Nothobranchius furzeri: one gene and its partner. The protein of the gene in region 1 interacts with the protein of each later gene in a pairwise test. Links are inferred from orthologs where the notes say so. Each region holds a gene or a part of one and is shown on either strand. Other genes may lie near its edges.

Region 1 (6,525 bases):
CAAACAGAAACAACCAGGTGCGGCGCTCACCTGTCCAACATGTCTCTGGTCTCGTTCAACAGTCTGATGGTCATGACGTCGTTCTCGGTTAATCCACACGCCTGAACGGGCGGCACAAACATCACGGTTATTATTCATCAGTGAGCGCCGCCGTGGTCGGGCCTCGCCGCTCACCTGCTCAGCCAGGGCGTTCTCGTCGTCCGCCAGCAGGAAGCGGGACATCGGGCGCTCCGAGTCGGACTCCACCTCGGCTCTGATCCAGCTCAGCTGCTGCTCCAGCTCCAGCAGGGACAAACTCTGCTTCAGAGACACGCTGGACACCAACGGGAGACTCGTCAACTGCTGTTCTACTACGGAGGGCCAGAAGGGCCAAAATCAACAAATAACTCAAATCTGACACGAATGAGACTAAAATATAAAAACATATTTTAAAAACTTTAAGGTTTTGTTTTATGATTCAATAAATAAGACTTTTTAAGTTTAAGACATGTTAAATAAATACTGAATTCTTTATTTTTTATTGTATTGTGGCACTTTTGGCTCTCCGTACACCACAATCATGCGATCACACAAATAAAAATGTGTGACTTTCGGACGTTTTGCAGACAGAAACCTAAAACTCACCTTCCCAGCGAGCGCTGCACGGCCCTCTTCACCACTGTTATTAACTCGTTTAACCCTGGGGAGACGCGCGGAGACGTTACACAACCCACACACACGCTAGGGTCTGAAGTCAATCTGCAGGAGGAGATCTGTCCCCTACCGTCTCCGAGGAGATGCTGGATGCTGGACAAGTACTGCTGCTGGACGTCTGCAGGAGCCAGAGGATTCTGGGTAATAAAAAGCAAACATCAGATCCTCGTTTCTTTCCATTTCCCTGCCGAGCTTCCACACCTGCAGCGCGTGGTGCAGCTCCATCCTCACCGTTATGCTCTTCCCTACAGAGTTATCCAGGTACAGGTAACCTCCGATGATGTTGAGCTGCACTCGAAGGAGAACCACCAGCATGCAAGTGCTGTAGACGGCCACGATGGTGCGGGTGAAGCCTGAAGACCACAAACAACAGATCCTGAGTCTCAGGAGGCCAGAAAAAAAATACTTTAATCAAATGTTCTGCCGAGTTTAAAACTTACTGATGATTTTTAAATCTTCCCAGATCTCCAGTTTATTAGCTGGTCTGGAGGAAAAAGATTTAAACATCTTTATTTAAACACCTAAAACAAGCAAATGTGTATTTTGTGTTAGATAACAGAATAAAGTCTGATGATGGGAACGCTAATGTGTCGTCTGACTTGGTCTTCAGCAGCGCGGTGAGCGTCTCGGAGTTCAGCTGAGCGACGACGGCCTCTCTGAGCGGCGGGAGCATCGACAGAACTGAAACACAGAAACGGTGAGCCTCGCTCCTCAGCTCAGGCCGACCCTAGCCCTTACCCTAACCCTACCGGTCATGTTGCAGGTTCGCTGGTTGCTCTCGAAGTGGAACTGCCGTCTGGCCTGGGCGATGTACTCCGTCGCCTCCTTCTCTTGGATGTCTCTGATCTTCTTTTGGGCATATCTTCCAAAAATGTAAACTCCTGAGAAGGAACCAAATAGGAGGTGAACACAAAAACATGGAGGGCCAGCTGCAGCACCGTGGGGGGATCCGTTATATTCTGATATTTTTTAAACTAAATAGCAAAAGAAGCCATCTGTTATTATTCAGCTTTGAAAGAAAAATACTAAACAGATTTTAACAGGAACCAAACCCGAACCTGGTTCCATAGGAGTTCAGAGAACTGCAGCAGAGAAGAGCTCAGCTGCTCCGGAGCATACAGGTGTGTGTTAATGCTGCAGGTCAGGAAACACTGAACAAGTGTGGCCGGCTTAGAAAGGCTGCAGGAGAAATCCTGAACAAGACTTCTAGAGCAATAGCCTTTGGACCAAAGTGGTGTTTACCCATAATGCACAGCAGAGCCCTCTGATATGGGCTGTATGACCGGTGTCAGAGCTTGGTCAGCATTGCCGGCAGTAAGTCGGGCTCGTTCCCAGGGAGAGTTGGACTCTGCCAAGGCTGCCCTTTGTCACCGATTCTGTTCATAACCTTCATGGACAGGATTTATGGGCGCAGCCAAGGTGTTGAGGATATCCATTATGGTGGCCTGAGGATCAGGTCTCTGCTTTTTGCAGATGATGTGGTCCTGTTGGCTTCATCAGAACGTGATCTTCAGTTTTCGCTGGAGCGGTTTGCAGCTGAGTGTGACGCAGCTGGGATGAGAATCAGCTCCTCTAAATCTGAGACCATGAGAAAATGGTAGAATGCCCTCTCCAGGTCAGGGATGAGGTCCTGCCCCAAGTGGAGGAGTTTGAGTATCTCGGGGTCTTGTTCACAAGTGAGGGAAAACTGGAGCGTGAATAGGCGGATTGGTGCTGCATCTGCAGTGATGCGGCCATTGCACCAGTCTGTCGTGGTGAAGAGAGAGTTGAGTCGGAAGGCGAAGCTCTCTATTTACCGGTCGATCTACGTTCCTACCTTCACCTATGGTCATGAGCTTTGGGTAGTGACAGAAAGAACGAGATCACGGATACAAGCGGCCGAAATGAGTTTTATCCGAAGAGCGGCTGGGCTCTCCCTTAGAGATAGGGTGAGAAGCTCAGTCATTCGGGAGGGGCTCGGAGTAGACCCGCTGCTCCTCCACATCGAGAGGAGCCAGTTGAGGTGGCTCGGGCATCTGGACAGGATGCCTCCTGGACGCCTCCCTGGTGAGGTTTTCCGGGCACGTCCAACCGGGAGGAGGCCTAAAGGTAGACCCAGGACACGGTGGAGGGACTATGTCTCTCACCTGGCCAGGGAACGCCTTGGGATTCCCCCAGAGGAGCTGGCCCAAGTGGCTGGGGAGAGGGAAGTCTGGGCCTCTAGCCTTAGGCTACTGCCCCCGCGACCTGACTCCCGGATAAGCAGATGAAAATGGATGGATGGATGGATGGCACAGCAGAACGTTAGGAGAAACCCAAACCGCTCCCGCTAGCTGTGGACAAGGTGGTGGAGGGGTGATGGTTTGGGCTCCCAGCAAAAATGAGACCATGAAAACCAGACTGGGTAATAAATCTGGACACGGATCCCAAACGCAGCTAGAATCATGTGGCAATGATCAAAGTCCAGACCTCCACCCCCACCGAAAGCTTGTGATGAGACGTTGGGGAGCAAATGGTGCAAATCCCACAACTCATAAGTGGGCCAGAATTCCTCCAGAACCGCGCAAGGCTCACATGATCCTCACATAAAGTTTCACTACAGTGAATCATGTTTACATCAGAGACAGGGAGAAATGTGATGTTGTGCAGCACAGAGATAAAAAATACATATCTGTAAGCATTTTTAGTTTTGACAAATATGACAAAAACATTTTATATTTGAATCGGTAAAGTATTCTAAAGCCGAAAAAAAGATCATCTTAATGTTCCTAATCGCTCTTTAAATAACTTTTAAAATACACATGGTTCATTTTATCACCAAAACTAGTTTTTAAAGGGTTTATTCGTGGTGTCCGGCGTGTGTGGGGACTACCCCCTTACCTCCAACGACTGCTCCGGTGAAAATGAATTTCTTTTTATGGCGTTTTATAAAATTCCAGACAGACGAAAACATCTTCAGGAAAGTAGAACTCCAAAACCCCTCCGCACTTTTATCTCTTGGCTTCACTTTTTAATAAACATTTTAGTGGAAGAGTTTCTGACTGCAGCTCTTAGCTACCAAGCTAACTGTCACAAATTTGCTGATCAAGGGTGTAGCTGAGACATCCGGTTTAGGACTTCAAAATAAAACGCTCTGGGCAACGGAAGTGCAAATGATCATTAGATAATAGAATTGCGAATCCACGTCACATTAAAATAAAGAAACGGTTGTACTAATTAAGTGCTGTTCTATAATCAATGAGAACTATAAAATAATTGGTCCTGGCAAATCTTCCTGACATTTGTGGGAACATTCTACTTCCGGTTTTAGCGCACAATTTGTGAGAAAGGTGATTGGTCGCATCCGAAAGTGGTCCGTTTAATATTATCTTCCCCCACTGTGCTAAGCGCTTCAAATGAGTGACTAAAAGCTGAAAATACGCTCCAAAAACTGAATTTAACTAAATATCTCCAGTTTCAAAGATATTTTACATCACTCCTGACGCCATGGGATCAGAGGAGGGTGAAAATCCTGATTCTTTGGAGCGGTTTTGTCCGACTGATGAGGAAATAGAGAAATGGATGTGCAGCGCTTTTGAAATGGTAATGTCTTCATTCAAATGTAGCGAAGAAACATTTAATTTTTTTAAATAAGTTTTTATGATAAATGATTTTGTAATCATAAGTTGGTATCAACCAAATGAAAACGAACAGGAATTGTTTTGTTTGATTGGCTGAAACGTGTGTTAGATATTTCTGGTTCAGGAGTATAAGGCGCCTGGTGGTGGTGAGCTGAATGTTGAATGTGTTTCTGCAGGCCAGAGATGCTCTGGAGAACGGAGAAGTTCCTGTAGGATGTCTGATGGTTTACAAGGATGAAGTGGTGGGGAGAGGGAGGAATGAAGTCAACGAGACTAAAAATGTAGGAAAAATCTAAACAACCTTTAAAGAGCCTTACAGCAGGATCAGTCAGGACATAAGATCCTGGTGGTCTCCAGGAGCTAAAACTGTGTTGGCTTCATCATGAGACCAGTTCAAAATTTCTGATGGTTTTCAGGCAACTCGTCACGCTGAGATGGTCTCCTTGGACCAGGTCTTGGACTGGTGTCGCCATAGCAACCTGGACACAAAGAGCGTGTGTGAGCAGACTGTCCTGTACGTCACAGTGGAGCCGTGCATCATGTGTGCCGCAGCCCTGCGCCTCGTCAGTATCCTCCCCCGACCTGAGAGTGTGTGTGTGTGTGTGTGTTTGTTGTCCTTAACCAGCTCCCAGATATCCCCGTGGTTGCCTACGGTTGCAGAAACGAGCGTTTTGGGGGGTGCGGATCAGTTCTGGACATTTCCTCTGCAGACCTTCCTCACACTGGGACCACATTTAAGGTGTTTATTCATTTGTGCCACGTTGACCAGCTGCTCACTGTTTTATAAACACGTGTGTTCAGTGTGTTTCAGGCCACAGAGCAGAAGAAGCCATAGAGATGCTCAAAACTTTCTATAAGCAAGAAAATCCAAATGGTAAAATGTTTGATTACTGACCAGCTAATAAACCAATGTTGATGTTACTGAAAAGTTATTTAACTCTTTCTGACAAAAATACCTTTACATCAGAAATCGTTTCAGTTCTGACAACTGATTTATTCCAATTCATTTGCTCAGAGAATTAAAATCAATTATTCTTTTGTCTGTTTCAGCCCCAAAGCCCAAACCAAGGAAGGACTGACCTGAACAAATTGTTTTAATGTGTATTTTATAGATTTTTATTGTAATAAAATCATTTTTATTTCTAGATAATGACTTTTAATGTCTTATTTCCTCATTTCTCCAGTTCCCCAGCATGGGCGCTCTTTACCAGCTGACCTGTAAAACTGAATGAAGAGGAAAACACAGAAACATGAAGCTGCAGTTAAAACTAAATGTCAAAAATCATAAAGTTTAACATTTCTGAGGATTTGGGGGGTTTATTGGTTTGTGGAATCATGGAGGCAGAAGTTTGTAGTGAAACTGCAGATGTAAAACAAACCACTGTGTGTGTGTGTGTTATCCATGGTTCTGATTGGCGACATCAGCTCCAAACGTTTCACGCTGTGATGCAAGATGTCGACCATCAGCACACAGATCGCTCCCACACATCAAGCTGTCACGATGTGTCCACATGCATGCACGCATTGTGTGTGTGTGTGTGTGTGAGAGATACTATTTTAACACCAAAAATAATTGATTTAATAGGGAAAAAGAATCAGCTAATTCTTCCTCTTTCCCTTGCAGCTGATTTCCTAAAAGCTGGAGAAAATCGTCTCCTTCACATACCTAAAGAGAAAATACATTAAAAACATTAAACCTCAATGAAATTGATTAGTTGTGACCAAAAACAAGTTTGACCCATAATTAAACAGCATTTTGCTTTCATTTGACATTTAAAAAAAAAAGAAGTTCATGTGTCCGGAAAATATTTGTGCATTCTTCATTATGATTATTGTTATTATTTTTTGTAAGAAGAAGAATATGCTAATATGAAAGTAGTTGATAAACACTGCATTTAGTAAGCTGCTGTGTTTAAAAGCAACAATAAAACATTACCGACATGATTCTCACTTTACAGACTTTCTGTTGAATATACTGATGACCCTCCCTTGTTTTTATTTAGACACAGGGCTATTTTGTTTATGTGCTGGTTTAGAAGTGGTTTAGAAAATAAAGTTGGATTGGAACGTCTGAGCGCGTGCTTCCCTCGTGTATTCGAATCCCGTAACTGCAACTTCGGAGTCGTTTACCGTTGCTAGACAACACCCAGGCAAAATCTGACTCAAACGGGTTTTATCACATATACACTGCTTGTGAAAACATGTCGGAAGATAACGTTATTGTGATAGAGAA
Region 2 (6,563 bases), on another chromosome or scaffold:
TATAAAATTAAAAAAAAACATTTCCATGTATTTTAAAGTAAACAGGTGATTCCCACAAAACTGGGTTAACATCCTGACTGGAATCTCGTGGCACATGGGAGCTGAAATATCCTGATTAAGTTGTTTTAAAATCTAAAACAGACTTTTCTAAACTAACGTTTCTCAAATGTCACAACAGACATATTTATTTAGTAAATCAGGTTTTTGTTTAATTCTGAATCCAGTAAACGGGGTTAGCTCACCTGGACAGTTCCAGGAATCCAGAGACGAGCCACGGCTTCCAGGACTGTTTCCCACAGAGTCCCAGACAAAGGACTGCAGTCAGGAAGACCCAATTTAAGGAAAACCGGTGTTAAATGTCTACTAAACTTTAATTTTTGTGTTTTTAATTTAAAATATTTAGTTTTATAAAAGACAAAATGGAATCGTCATTTAAAGAATTTCACCCTAACTGGTTGTGATGTTCTGAGAAAATGTGTTTGAAATCAGAATAAAAGGAGATTAAATCTACAAAACAGACAGTAAAATGCTGATTCAGCATCTACAGGTAAAAAAAAACCTGATTAAAAGCCTGTTACTGTCTGTGAAACACTTGAAGAAAGCCGGACCACGGCGCCCCCTTCTGGCTGGAGCCATTTAAATTCTGAGTAACACGTCAGGAGGAAACATTCCCATCCGGGAGAACGTTCTGGAGCAGGATCAACATCTGGAAGGATACGGTGAACGAGAGGCCGGCTGATGTACACGGACTCGGCCACAGTCTCCTGGAGGCCCAGTTCTGTTGGTGTACTGTTCTCTGCCAAACTGCTCCTCCTGTTCCTCTGGACCGGAGCTCCCCACAGACGGTTCTGGAGAGACGGTGCTGACCCAGTGAATGGAGACAGAAGGAGGTTAATCTGACGGTTCTTCCCACTTTCTGCCAAACTTCAGATCTGTGGGAAAGCTCAGTTTCTTTAGATTTTACATCCATGAAGAAAATATGAAGATCTGAGGAGGATCGGGACTTCCGGACCAGATCGGGAGGTTTACAGGACACTTTAACAGCAAAAATTTGTTTTTGTTTATTTTAATAAAATAAAATAAAAAATAAACACGAAATAAGTAGAACTTCCTTTTGTGACTTAAAAATCCTTTTGTTCTGGATAATAGCCGACCAGCTTAAACCTTCTAGGATGATTAAACTTAAAATCTGATTTCTCACCGCTGCCAAGTGGCCTGATGACTCGCCCTGACCTTTGACCCACGAAGCAAGAGTCCTCCTGCTGCTCACTGTTACTTTCAGCTGTGCAGAAAACACTTATTCATACATCCGTCATTGTTAAGACTCAACGGATACAGACAGGTCCTTTATTATTAAAAAAAAGGCTGATATAACCTTCACCAACACATTCTGCACTCCTGTCCAGAGGGATTATGGGAGGTGAAGTCCCGAGGCCAGATTTATACACCAGAAGAAGAACGAGGCGGAAAACTGTCCTGAGAAAAAAGGAAACGGAGAGATTTAGCAGCTACTGGAATGTTTTATCAGTCCTTAAAAGACTTTTACAGCAGGGTTGGGGCTTAAAGCATCCCGACATACTAAATGGAGAAACCCATCAGCTGATTCAGCAAAAAGGCTAAAACTCAAGATGTTTCCAGAGAGGACAAACATTCATGTTTCTCCTGATCAGAACAAACCGTCCTCATGAGCCTGAAATGAAGTCAAAAATGTTCTTTACTGTGACAGAAAAGGGGGGGCATACTTAAAAATCTGAATGAGTCCAATCACCAGCCAACGGCCGACTTCCCCCCACAGCTTGAAGGCTCCCATTTCCAGGAAAACCTGCACGTACTCGAGCACCGACAGCCAGTTTAGTAGTCTCTGCTGAGACAGGGACTAGAGACACACATGGTTGGAGGGGGCTTTAAATCGTCCTAAACTCTGGTAAGATCAGGATTTATTCCACAACTGGACGTGTTTCTAGGCTAACCTTGGTGAGGGAACATCTCAGTCCTCGGCGCAGGATGCTGTCATTAAACAGCACCAGCAGGTTGGAGGCAGAATACACTGAAAATGACAAAACCAGGACAAAAATTAGAGACACGATCACAACCATCCCAGGACAAAGCTGTGAAATGTAATGGTCACCCCCTCACCTGGGACATCAGAATAGTTTGTTCTTTGTGATTTTCTTGGTTTTTGCTGCAGCTTCTGAAGCTTAGCTGATTACTTTTATTTCCTTGATGAGACTAGATTTAAAAGTCCTTTAGCCGGGTGATATTTTACCTGGTAACTGGGAACACAAACCCTCCCAGACTTTTATTCAAAAGCTTAAAAGCAGACTTGTGAGCTCCGTTCATTAAACGTGACCAAATCCAGCAAATATGACAGCAGAAGCGTGACCCAGATCCTGGTAACAGACTCACATTTATTCATCAGAACCAGTCAGAACCAGGTAGTCTGATGCTTTATGTCTGGTACCAGAGCCTTTTATGGCTCACAGCTACACTGATACTTCAATCCAGAATAAACAATGACTTTGCTTTTTTTTTGTTCAGATGAAAAGAAAAAAAATCACAACAAATGTTTTTCACAATTTGGAATTTTCAGACATTTTTAAAGTTTGGGCCTTTAAAAAAAGGGATTTACCACCTGAAGCAACAGTTTGCTGATGAGACAAATGATAAAAAGCAGGAAGAATGACTGAATCGTTTTACTCACCAAGTTCAGAAATCTCATGAGAATCTGCAAACCGCCCTGGAATACAGAAAGGTGTAAACATTGAAGCAGCTGCGTGCAGGACTAAACCTGCTGTTTCTGAAAGGAAAATGAAACTCAGCTCTGGGTAGGGTCACAGTTCAAGGTTACATCAACAATACGCTGAGCCACTAATTTATTTGTTTTTTATATTCAGGAGAGACAGGTAAACATTTTGTTTTTATTGTGTGGTTTTTATTGTATTATTTACTTAACAACCTAACAAGAAGCAATGGCGACGCGCAGATTCATTAGAACATCAAACCTAAGGAGAAGTCCAGTTATGTCTGCTTGGAAGGAAAATACAAACAAACGAGGACTAGACTGGAGCTTTCCGATCGAAACTGGACACATCTTAATCTTTTTTATGAGCAGACTTACCTGCGATCAGGTAGGAGACTGTCCTCACGGTGCTCTCCAGATGTGCAGTGGCAGCTGGATTCCTCCTCACATAGTCCGTGTAGCGCTCATATAGACGACTCGCAGCGTCTATGTACTCCTTAAAATGAGACATGTCAGCTCTAGCTGAAGCATTAAGTCCTCATTTAGTTACCAACGTTCATAAATTATCCACAACCAGTTAATGAGCTCAGCTCGACTTGTTTTTGAAAAGTAAACAAACTTCCGCTTCCTCTACTTCTTCTTTTTTAGGAATTCACGACTCTTTCCGTTCTGAAAAGGTTTACTGCCCCTTGTTGGATTTAATACTCAACTACATCCGTTCTCGAGTTTATATTAGTTAAATAAAGTTCTAATATTTTCATCAAAAAACTTAATTTTGATTTATCAAACTTTCAAAAATATTTGAAGAATAATTTCAGCTTTTCCACCTACATTTTTGTGGTGACCGTAAAGCACACATACACAACAGACGAACGCTGCCCTTTAAAATCAAAAGCAAAGGTACGCGTGCTAGTTCCGGTCCGGGCGGGCACGTTATTGTTGCATCAGCATCCTCTCATTTAACACAGTGGTCATGTCGAGCTCAGGAGAGACAGGTAAACATTTTGTTTTTATTGTGTGGTTTTTATTTTATTATATATTTAGTTAACAACCTAACAAGTAGCAATGGCGTTTCCGTTATATGTTGAACTGTCACAAGAAATTAGCGCCAGCTACATCTGTTAGCGAGCAGCTAAAGGCAGTTCTGATGACAAACCAAAGTCCCTTCAACTATTAGACGATTCTAGATTCAAGCTTATGGGGTTTAATCTTCAAAGCACAGATGACTCGGGAGTTATACGACCTTTTAACATGTGAGGACAGTTTTAATATCGGCATATTTAGTTTAACAAAAAAATGAAGCAAATATGTGATGCGCTTATTTATTGATGACCATGTTTATATTACGGTATTACATGTATATATTATATTACGGTGGAAGAAGAGTAAAAAAACGAAAAAAAAATATACACAGCCATACAGATGACTAAATAGTTTGTTTTATTTTATTTTCAATTATAAAAGAATGTCTTTTAGCCTGCATCCTTATTGCATCCTGATAAATCAGAATAACAATTTCATCCTTTTTGTCTCTTTGTGTTAGATTATCTTTTATTTTCCTTTTAGGTTTTGTTTTCCATGTTTTTCTTTCATTTTCTTCTTTAGTTGTTAGTTTCTGTTTGACTCATCTCAGGTGTGGCAGAAAATGCCATCAGTTTGTTTCAGTTTCATTCTGAGTAGTGGTCCTGGATGGTTGTGTTTGCAGCATCATTTTCCTTATTGTGCATAGTTATTTGTGCATAGTTGTGTGATCTTTATTTTATCAGAGCTTTTTTGCTGGTCATTTAGTGTCACATCATTTTACCTGTTCTAGTGATTAATTTTGTTTAGTTTCTCCTTCCAGGTTAAATTAGAGGCTGGTTTGAAGCTTGTATTGGTTAGATTCGTCAGGACAGTCGCGTTTATTCTGCAGGTTTCACCCAGAAGTCTTCTTCTTGCTGCTGTCAGTCCGATCAGTCCATTAACTACCTTCTGAGTACCTCAAAGGAACCAAACTGAATGAAAAAGCAGCCGGATTCCAAACTGAAGTATATAAAAAAACCTTCAGCAAGGTTGGAGAACTTTTCTTCTCTAGCTCTCCAGCGTTTCGAAAGCTTGAACCAGGATCTTTGCTCTATATAAACTTATCGATTCCAGGTTTTTAGTTGGGTTGTGTTAGTTATTATCAACAGCATGTTGCTGCTTGGTCGGTAACGATTTGCGAACGTTTGCCCTCTTGTTTCTGCAGCCTTTGAGTTTGGCTTCTTGCTGCAGATAAATGAGGAGGCTGCACTGACAGCAGCCCTGAACGACTACCTCTCCTCACGCAGCTACCTGGCTGGGTTTGGTCCCTCCCAGGCCGACCTGAAAGTCTTTAAGCTCCTCCCCCGGCCCCCCGATCCGCAGCACCTTCACGCTCTGCGCTGGTACAGACACATAGCTGCCCTGCAGCAGGACGACACCACAGAGAGCAGCAGTGAGTAGACGGTTTCCGGCATGAACAGAAGACTGAAGGCCTTCTGAAGCTCATCAGCAGGCATTTTTGCTATTTATTCTTGCAGCAGTTTGTGTGTGAGGCGCCTGTGGCTGAACTCCTGGAAGGATCCGTTCATCACTGCTTAAACAACATAACAGAACACTAAACAAACTGCACTCCTGTGTTGGTTTTAGCTGCAACGCGTAGCTTCAGATCTCAGAAAAGCTGCAGCAAACATTTCTGGATGTTTTTGTGTCTCTTCTCTGCAGCCCAGAGCAGACTGATTAAACCTGCAGAAGTAAATGACAAAATGTAAGAAATCAGTGATTGGATGGTGATTTTTACAAACCAGTATAAATATTGCTAACTGGTAAAGCAGCCCAGTTCTGTGTTCCTTCCCAGCAGTCGGACTTTCCTGTCTTTTTTTAAAGTGACTCAGAGACAAAGTTTTTCTTTGGACTTTTGCTGCTTTTTCTCTGTTTCAGTTTGTGTTTGTGAACATCTTCAGAGGAGAAACCACTTGGTTTGTCTGATACACTTTATGATCTCAGATCTTTTAAAGTGTGTTTCTCTGGAGAGGTCTGGATTAAAAATGGTCCTAATCCTGGTACTGAGGGCTGATCCTGAGCTCTTGTACAGCTCTGGGGTCTCATTTCTCAAACATTGTGTAGAATCCTTACTAAAACCGTACTTAAGCTCTGCAAAAAAATTTACTCACGCCAAGTAGGTTTGTGATCTATCAAACATGGAGTACGCACAGCTGCACGCAATCTCCACTTCATAAATCGGAGACTAACGAGAATGTTTCTCAGCTGCATTTTAGTCACATCCCGCCCTCACCACACCCACTTACTGCCATAAATGGTCAATGCAAAGTGCCTTGTGGATCTCATGCATATACATAAGGTGGCTGTTGCAGCGCTCCGCCAATGACATGGCGACCGTAGATCAAGGCAGATCAAGGAAGCGCAATTTCACAAGCAGAAGTTGAGGTACCTGTGGGTGAGGTGGAGAAATGAAAGGAAGTGCTTTTGCAAAACAAATAATGAAAATCAACGGAGTGGCACAGCGTTGCTGAAGCCGTCAATGTTGTGAGTTCTTCAGAGAGATCTGTTTCAGATATAAAAAAAATGATCCGATCAGGATTCGATCCCCAGACTCCCGGGTGATAGTCACATGCGCTAACCAGTCAGCCAAACAGAGGTCTCCCCTCTACAAGTAGCCAGGGCGGATAATCAATCGGGTCACATTGACAGGACACACACTGTCACAGACGCATGATATTCTGTGTCAGTCTGTCCCCCTGCTGATATTCTGCATTCCGTATTCTGCGCTTCAGGCTGTGTGTGTGTGCGTGTGGGGGGTCTT

Evidence for each region. The genes of interacting proteins can lie anywhere in the genome.
Region 2: the proteins of pex3 (region 1) and pex16 interact in binary tests that used the Homo sapiens proteins (3 or more experiments, as listed by UniProt). The link is inferred for Nothobranchius furzeri from reciprocal best matches to the Homo sapiens genes PEX3 and PEX16.

What each region holds. Positions count from the first base shown.
Region 1 is NC_091742.1:15,093,433-15,099,957, forward strand, and holds the start of pex3 (peroxisomal biogenesis factor 3), read right to left. Parts: upstream 3,766-6,525; 5' UTR 3,626-3,765; coding exon 3,553-3,625; intron 1,575-3,552; coding exon 1,443-1,574; intron 1,375-1,442; coding exon 1,293-1,374; intron 1,178-1,292; coding exon 1,134-1,177; intron 1,047-1,133; coding exon 925-1,046; intron 831-924; coding exon 764-830; intron 680-763; coding exon 625-679; intron 314-624; coding exon 175-313; intron 102-174; coding exon 31-101; intron 1-30. Other genes in the region: adat2 (tRNA-specific adenosine deaminase 2), read left to right, coding at 4,159-4,254, 4,469-4,573, 4,709-4,859, 4,925-5,031, 5,094-5,166, 5,343-5,371. UniProt on the Homo sapiens protein: Involved in peroxisome biosynthesis and integrity. Assembles membrane vesicles before the matrix proteins are translocated. As a docking factor for PEX19, is necessary for the import of peroxisomal membrane proteins in the peroxisomes.
Region 2 is NC_091749.1:65,432,470-65,439,032, forward strand, and holds the start of pex16 (peroxisomal biogenesis factor 16), read right to left. Parts: upstream 3,561-6,563; 5' UTR 3,252-3,560; coding exon 3,119-3,251; intron 2,798-3,118; coding exon 2,702-2,797; intron 2,048-2,701; coding exon 1,971-2,047; intron 1,877-1,970; coding exon 1,743-1,876; intron 1,477-1,742; coding exon 1,376-1,476; intron 1,283-1,375; coding exon 1,202-1,282; intron 863-1,201; coding exon 719-862; intron 316-718; coding exon 243-315; intron 1-242. Other genes in the region: cars1 (cysteine--tRNA ligase, cytoplasmic), read left to right, coding at 3,714-3,735, 4,968-5,195. UniProt on the Homo sapiens protein: Required for peroxisome membrane biogenesis. May play a role in early stages of peroxisome assembly. Can recruit other peroxisomal proteins, such as PEX3 and PMP34, to de novo peroxisomes derived from the endoplasmic reticulum (ER).